Linked DNA regions of Xenopus tropicalis. The protein of the gene in region 2 interacts with the protein of the main gene of each other region in a biochemical or structural test. Links are inferred from orthologs where the notes say so. Each region holds a gene or a part of one and is shown on either strand. Other genes may lie near its edges. The genes, in order: fam20c and fga.

What was found.
Region 1: of the proteins of fga (region 2) and fam20c, one has a biochemical effect on the other in vitro, tested with the Homo sapiens proteins (2 studies listed by IntAct). The link is inferred for Xenopus tropicalis from reciprocal best matches to the Homo sapiens genes FGA and FAM20C.

What each region holds. Positions count from the first base shown.
Region 1 is NC_030685.2:27,166,058-27,170,339, forward strand, and holds the start of fam20c (extracellular serine/threonine protein kinase FAM20C), read left to right. Parts: upstream 1-1,268; 5' UTR 1,269-2,045; coding exon 2,046-2,608; intron 2,609-4,282. UniProt on the Homo sapiens protein: Golgi serine/threonine protein kinase that phosphorylates secretory pathway proteins within Ser-x-Glu/pSer motifs and plays a key role in biomineralization of bones and teeth.
Region 2 is NC_030677.2:54,517,113-54,520,941, reverse strand, and holds part of fga (fibrinogen alpha chain), read right to left. Parts: intron 2,495-3,829; coding exon 2,349-2,494; intron 1,614-2,348; coding exon 551-1,613; intron 27-550; coding exon 1-26. UniProt on the Homo sapiens protein: Cleaved by the protease thrombin to yield monomers which, together with fibrinogen beta (FGB) and fibrinogen gamma (FGG), polymerize to form an insoluble fibrin matrix. Fibrin has a major function in hemostasis as one of the primary components of blood clots.

The DNA.
Region 1 (4,282 bases), on a different chromosome or scaffold from region 2:
TAACTGGGAATTTAAAGAGGAAGTTGTCCTTTTAGATAATGAAAAAAGACTTTTCAAAATCACCCACAACCCACAAAAAAATAACGTTATTGGTAAATGTAACTGAAGTTAAAAGCAGCGTTTACTACTTTCTGTAATAATGTAACAACAGTGAATTCTCCTCCAGCTCTGGTAATCATCTTTATTCTTCTACATTGTTTCAGGAGTCAGAACTAGAAGTGCATGCTGTATCAGTGTTTTCTCAACTCCTTTTCCTCCACATGTGACAGCCTATAACCACTGAGAATTCATAATGAATATATCTTGGAACATTGTTAAAAACTGAATTTTCTTTCATTATTTTGAAAAAATTTTGTGCAAAGGAGCACAGGCCTCTCTTAGCAGTTCCACAGAAGGATTAATTGTATCATATGTGTTTGACATAAACAGCTGGAAAGTATATCTTTATTAGTGATAAACGGGTCAGGGTAAACTCAACCCTAACTGCATAACCTAAGAGTAAACCCATGAGTTGCAGGTCAACCTGCATTTCACTAATCTTTATGGAGTTACTTACCCTTTAAAATCTTAAAACTCTTGAAGTAACCATTTTTATATGTGAAATAGTGATACGAAAATTAGCAAACCTTCTATCTACATAAACTTTTAATTTTTAATTCATTTTAATATAGAATAATATTATTATTGATAATATTATTATTAATATTATTATATTATCTTTACAGTGGCCTCAATGGGAATGGTCCCCGGAAGTCCCCCCCAATATTCCAGAAGCAAAGCAGCAAGCATTCACAGTTAAATCCCAATGTGCAGCCTCCCCTTATTTGTTCATGCTCAGGGCAGGGCAGGGGAGATATTAACCTAATGGTGCTCATAATTCCAGCAAAGAGTGAACACAACCCAGGAACAGCTGCTTTTTAGTTTGCTTATCAGGAGTGAGGAAAGCAATAAATCTTTCTATATACACAGCTTTGCCTTGAGTGCCACCCTATCCCTGCCTGCACCATGATGATGATGATGGTATCCCTGCTATGTGGCTATGAGACATACAGTAGAATTGTTGCAGGAATGATTTGTATAGATCCCTGAGAAGCTGCCGCCCTCTCCTTGCCTTTGCCGGAGCTGCAGACAGACAGAGAGAGAGAGAAAAAAAGCCCCAGGATTTTACTTTTAGCTTGAGGTTTGTCCTGTTCCTATCGCTGTAGCCTTCCTATAGCCAATCTCCTTGTGTGTGACGTGTGGGGGAGGCAGGTTCCAGCGCTTGCACATAATATTTAACACACCCACAGGAGGCTGGAGTTGCTGCGCTGCGAGTAGGGGCAGACTGATGCTTTTTGAACAGAACAGGGGGATTTCACTCTGCACCTGCCAAAGACCTTCCCTTCTGCCTGCTCGCTATCCGCTCTTCTTGCTCCCCGGCCCTCCCCACTGTAAGTGCCCAGGCTTGATAGGAATCAAGGAGACCCATGAATGCCAGCAACACAAGCACCCCCCCAGATCTGCTCTAATCTCTTCCCTGTGTGTGTTGCACTGTTTCAGCAGCTTGTTTTCCAGCCATGCTGAGTGCCAAGCCGGGGCTGCTCCTATGTCTCCTATCCTCTCCTGTGTGACTGCCCTCTCCCTCTCTCTGAATGAGGATTTCTGGATACATTACAGAAGAACCGTCCCAACCCAATGATTCCCAGCTCTGTGCAGAGGCAGCCCTGCAGCTGAAGCCGGGGGTCACTTCAGTGGGGATGCCCAGCAGCTCTATGCCCAGCTCATTCCAACGTTTCGGATTCTTCTCTTTCTCATTTCACTTCTGCTAATTCTCTTCTTCATTTTGTATTATCCATTCCTTTTTAACTTTTAATATTCCCTTTGCCTGCGGACTTGATTGCGATACCATCTTTAGAACCAACAAGGCAAATGGAGACTATTTATAAAGAACGCATTCTCCTTTAGAGCTTGTCGCCGGGGGTTACTCCGTCTACCTGCGCCGCCTTTGGTTTTGGACCTGGTTGTTGGGGGTGGGGGGGTGGATTCTGTATTCATAGAAGGGGAAAATGAAGATGATTCTGGTTCGGAAGTTCAGGGTGCTGATCCTGATGGTGTTCCTGGTGGCCTGCACCCTGCATATCATGATAGATCTCTTGCCAAAGCTGGAGAGGAGATCAGTAAGGAGTGATGGGGAGATGGGGTGCGCCTGCTCTCAGAATCACAATGAGGAGTCCCACCAGCAGGGATGGGGTAAGGTTCGACCCAAGAACACAGGGGAGCCGGGCTGGCCCAACAAGCACACCCTGAGGATCTTACAGGACTTCAGCAGCGACCCCAGCTCCAACCTCACCTCCCATTCATTAGAGAAGCTGAGTGGCACAGTGGACAAAAATGAATCGTTCAGAAAGCTGGAGCAGCAGGAGGGCCCCAGAGACATTGCTGATAAGCAGCTGATCCAGGAAAGGAGTATAAACAAAGCCCATGTTGGCACTGGGCACTCCAGGCTGGCAGCCCTCTTCCAGCACCCCCTGTACAAAAGCTCAGTCCCCCCACTCACAGAGGATGATGTCTTATTTAATGTCAACAGTGATATTAGGTTTAACCCCAAAGCTGCTGAGTCCCAGGACTGGTAGGTCATTTAAAAAAAAATTTATTTATTTTAAAATCGAACCCTGCGGTTCTTTACCTGTATTATACTGTACACTTCTATACCTATGTATTGTTTACTGTATTCCCTCATTGCCTCTGGGAATCCCAGCTATTGCAGGACTACAAGTCCCAGCAGGGAGTGCTGTAGTTTAATAAGAGCAGCAGGCCCCTAAGTTGGATTTAGCCATATGAGCTGTGTCCATATAAACAGGGGGTATAGGACCGTGCACTTACAATCTCATTTTCATTCATTCTGGGTTTCCAAGATAATTTAATTGCTCTATATCACGAGTGGGCATTCCTTACCTGCCTCATTCTCACTAGGCTGGGTTGGCAGGCTTGTCAGAATTGACTGCACAGCCTGCAGGTTTCAAACCCTTGCACTTTATTTGAGCAAACAAAAAGAGCATACATGCATGTATTTGCATAGACTCTTTCCTTATCCTAAACCCCACAGGGGAGTTAATATTTCTTACTAATTCCCCCCATTCCCTAAGAAAAAGGGGGGATACCTGGGCTGCTATTTCAACAAAATGACCATTAATGGTGTAAATTATATATAAATGTATATAAACTTTAAACAAATTCTTTATTGTTTGTAGGTGTACATTTATCTAGTGTATATATAGAAACCAGATAGATAGATAGTGTACTTTCACCCCCTTATACATATAATATACAGACAAGTATACCTGCTGGGCCAGAAGCAATATAATGGAAATAACTAGAAAACATATACCTGGGACCATCTGTTTGTCCCAGGTTTTACACTTAGAATAAGTACAAGTCTAACCTGTATCGGTTTAATTGTCAAGTACTCTTTGCTAAAATAAAGAAAAGAAAAGGTTGTATGTCATTGTAAGGCAAATGGGGGGAGCCGGACTTAATATAATACAACAGCACCCTCTTTCATGCTCAGTGACATTGTGTTGCCCAGAACAGCTGCATTGTTCTTGTCTTTTGGAGACGCTAGATAATTGCAGGATTAAAGACTTAATTAAGGCAGTAAATATATCTTGCATGCAGGGTGCCCCCTTTTCAATAAACAAAAGCCATTTCCTATATTATAGAGGGAACTTAAGGTAGAATATACCTGTATAGGTCATATTAGTGGGTTATATTTTATAATACACTTCTACTTATCATAAAGCACAAGTAATAACAGATGGCAGGTAAATGGAGTAATCAAGTATAATATATATAAATCTGATGCTATCAATGTTATTTTCCCCATTAGATCAGCTAGGCCCAAGGAAACAATGTAACAAGATGTCCAAGGCTTCGATATATTGCAATTAATAATATTAAATGGCTTTATATCGCTGCTGCATTATTACAGCATTACAAAGTCTGTGCTGGGGAAATGCTGGATAAAAAGCATGCTTGTTTAGAATAGATTCACCCACTTGGAATGTTCACCTGTTTCGCCATTACCCAGAATGCATCTGTCAACGCCAAAAAGAGATTGGGGAGCTTTGTGTAATGAAGTCTTTATCTGGCAGAGGCTGAATTGAAAGTCCCATTGCCCCGGGGCAGAGAGAGATAATGGGGTGTGTCACAAGGTACCAAATGAGAAAACAAGCCAAGCATCTCCACTTCTAAATAAAAGTCACCTGATATCATATATTATAGTACAGGCTATTTATGAACACAA
Region 2 (3,829 bases):
GTGTTTTTGACGGATATCATCACAGTCTAAAAAGAAATGCAGTTTTATCTGATTTACTATTATTGCCATACTTAATTAATGCGACCTGGACTGACAAAAATAAAGCCATATTATTCTGGCAATTGCTGAAAGATATATGTGAGAGTAAGTGAAGTAATTGATATTTTATTGTGATAAAATATTAGCAATATTAGCTTTAAGTTTACATTTTGCTAGGCAAAGAATATGTTTTATGTCAATTTTGCCAAATGGCATGCATATTATATCATATGGGAAAATATAATATGTGCACGTATGTTTTGATAGCTACTATATGTGCCTTAAATCAATTAAAATGCCAAACTAAATAAGTGTGTAAGTTGTATATAACCCTAATTCCCAGACTCTACCTGCCTAAACTACCTGTGTATTCTTTTCTGTTTTTGTGTTTACGGTCGATAAACATATGAATTCATGAAATGATTTAAAAGAAGCTAGGTTGCCTTTATTATGTGTATTTTTTTCCTGGTTTAAAAGTGGAACCTCACACTGTCCTTTTACTTTCATTTACCTTTCCCAGTGTAATCTCCAACCAACTTCATTTCTTTTCTCACAGTGCGGGCCTGGAAATCAGGCCTATCCTCTTCACTATTATCGTGCTGGATAGGGCCAAAGTCGGTAAACACTGGCCCACTCTTCATAGATTTAATATCAAACTGAGTGCCATCTTTACTGCTTCCCCTGCTGCTGCTGCTGCTGGAGACCACAGTCTTTGTAATGGTTGACGAGCCTTCTTTTTGGAGGGGTGTAAAGCTGGGTGAATCAAGTCCTGTATGGCTAAAGTCATCAAATTCATCTTCTCCCAAATCAGTGAAAACATCATGAGTTACCTTAGAACTACTACTGCTACTGCTACTGGTTTGGCTGGTTTGTGTTTTTTTCCCAGATGAACTTAAAAACTCTTCAAAGGAAGGAATCTTACTGATATCCCCTAAAGAACTACCTCCAGAAATGTGGATAACACGAGTTCCATCAGACCCTCCTTGAAAAGTGTCATCTGTGCTTAATTTTCCTAATTTTTCACACTCCGGACCACCACTATATGTTTCAGTGATTTCTTCTTTAGGGCCCTCTGGTGTGGATACTACCCTCCTCTTAACTGTCTTAGTGCATGAAACTGTTCTTTCTGTGATGACTTTGGTTGACTGATCTCCCCCTGTCACTGTCCCTGACTGTGTACTTTTGTCATCGCCATAAATTTTAGAACCTTGAAATACTACATCTTTCCCACTGCCGGAAGGAAATACAACAGATGAGGTTCCCATAGATGAGCCTTTTACCTCGTCTTTTGTCCCTTCTAAAACAAATGCATATTGATTAATGTCTTTGAAAATTGGGAACTCTGCTTCTTGGTCTTTGCCAAGTGCCAGTGTTCTATAACGAGAGTCTACAGGAGAGTCCTTAATAGGCCTCATTTTAAGCACTCGTATGGCATTCATTTGGCTATTTAAGTCAGTGGTTTCAGCTTGCAAAAGTAGTTTCTGTATGTTGTTGTAGCTGTCATGGTCCACTTTGTAGTCAGTGTTCTTTGCACAAGATCCTTTGCAAGCACGGATTTTTATATCAATATCCACCTAAAAACACATTAAAACAGAAAAAAGTATATTATTTATATATATGTGTGTGTATATAGATAGATAGGAGATAGATAGATAGATAGATAGATAGATAGATAGATAAGAGATAGATAGATAGATAGATAGATAGGAGATAGATAAACAGATGATAGATAGATAGATAGATAGATAGATAGATAGATAGATAGATAGATAGATAGGTGATAGATAGATATATAGATGATAGATAGATAGATAGATAGATAGATAGATAGATAGATAGATAGATGATAGGAGATAGATAAACAGATGATAGATAGATAGATAGATAGATAGGAGATAGATAAACAGATGATAGATAGATAGATAGATAGATAGATAGATAGATAGATAGATAGATAGGTGATAGATAGATATATAGATAGATAGGAGATAGATAAACAGATGATAGATAGATAGATAGATAGATAGATAGATAGATAGATAGATAGATAGGTGATAGATAGATATATAGATAGATAGGAGATAGATAAACAGATGATAGATAGATAGATAGATAGATAGATAGATAGATAGATAGGTGATAGATAGATATATAGATGATAGATAGATAGATAGATGATAGATAGATAGATAGATAGATAGATAGATAGATAGATAGATAGATAGGAGATAGATAAACAGATGATAGATAGATAGATAGATGTGATTATAGATAGATAGATTAATAGATAGATAAATTTTATTGGTTACCTCAAGACGTTTCATTTCCACCACCTGATCTCTGATGTTTTTCTGAAGTGCTTTTATTCTCTCTACTTGATTGGAAACTTTCAGCTTCAAATATTCGATTTTCTTTCTGAGGTCTTCAGACACTTGATTATACTTTCCATCGCTTTCTAAAATAGGTAAACCAGAATCATTTTATCAGCTTAGCGCACATTTTGAGTGTGGGAAGGCTTATTTATCAAAATTCGAATTTGTGACTTAAGAGTTGTCCTTCAATTACAATAATGTCTACTTATTTAAAAAATGTGTTAAAAATGTAAATCTAAGAAACATGATTGAATAAAACTGTAAAAAAAACCTCAAATGCATTGAATTTGTATTTTACTCATCATGACTTTTACTTTTATATGTGGCAGAATACATTTTCTTATGTCCAATAATTTTAAATATATTTTATATATAATTGTCATAATCAAATGTTCATTTATACCTAAAAACACTGCGAAATATTATGTACACCTGTGTCTTTGGGGCAGTTTGTATTGTATTGCCACTTTTTTTGTGCATTTATGTACAAATTCTTCTTTTTGGGACTGTTTCTATTTCCTTTCTGGTGAAAATGACAATAGTTATGTCCTGCTGAATGGGATCGTAGGATTTCATAGGACACTAGGCAGTATCAACTTTATCTGATCTTATCACATTTATATTTATTACACGGCTAAATGAATACGTTTGTGCCTGAATATGGGAGAAGAAATAATTGATCATGACCCTCACACAGTTGGCTCTTACTTAAAGGAGAAGGAAAGGCAAAGTCACTTGGGGTTGCCCCCGAGTGACTTGAATCGCTTACCTTTTACCCCGGCCTGGTGCTCCTGTTCAGAGAGAACAGCACCAGCCCGGTGTAGCTGCAGCGCTTCCTCCTTCCTGCTTTGCGAGCGTGCGCATGCGCAGTAGAGTGAAAAGCCAAACAGAGAGGTCGGCTTTTCACTCTACTGCGCATGCGCCTATTGTGTTAGTCGCAGCGAAATGAAGCAGGAAGGAGGAAGCGCTCGCTCCAGGTGCCCCGGGCTGGTGCTGTTTTCTCCTAACAGGGGCACCAGCCCGGGGTACAAGATAAGCGATTAAAGTCACTTGGGGGTGCTTAACATTTTAGCACCCCCAAGTGACTTAGCCTTTCCTTCTCCTTTAAAGTGGAAAAATACACCATATAAACCATGAATTAAAAAATTAAACACATTTGCTAAACGTGTGGTGTGATCCAATAACTACTGAGTACCATATTTAAAATATTACTTATAAAGTGGCAAGTGAGTTTCTTTCTTAAGACAAGTTTTAGGTGGCATGTTTTTTAATTTTTTTCAAACCCTGCTAATTGGAAAGAAACTCAGCCCAGAGGCTCAAGCAATAGTAAATGTGCCTTGCCATGTTAGTTTTGAATCTGATATACCTGTACATAGTACAATAGTGTATCAGTGAGTTATACAAAGCATGCAGACTGA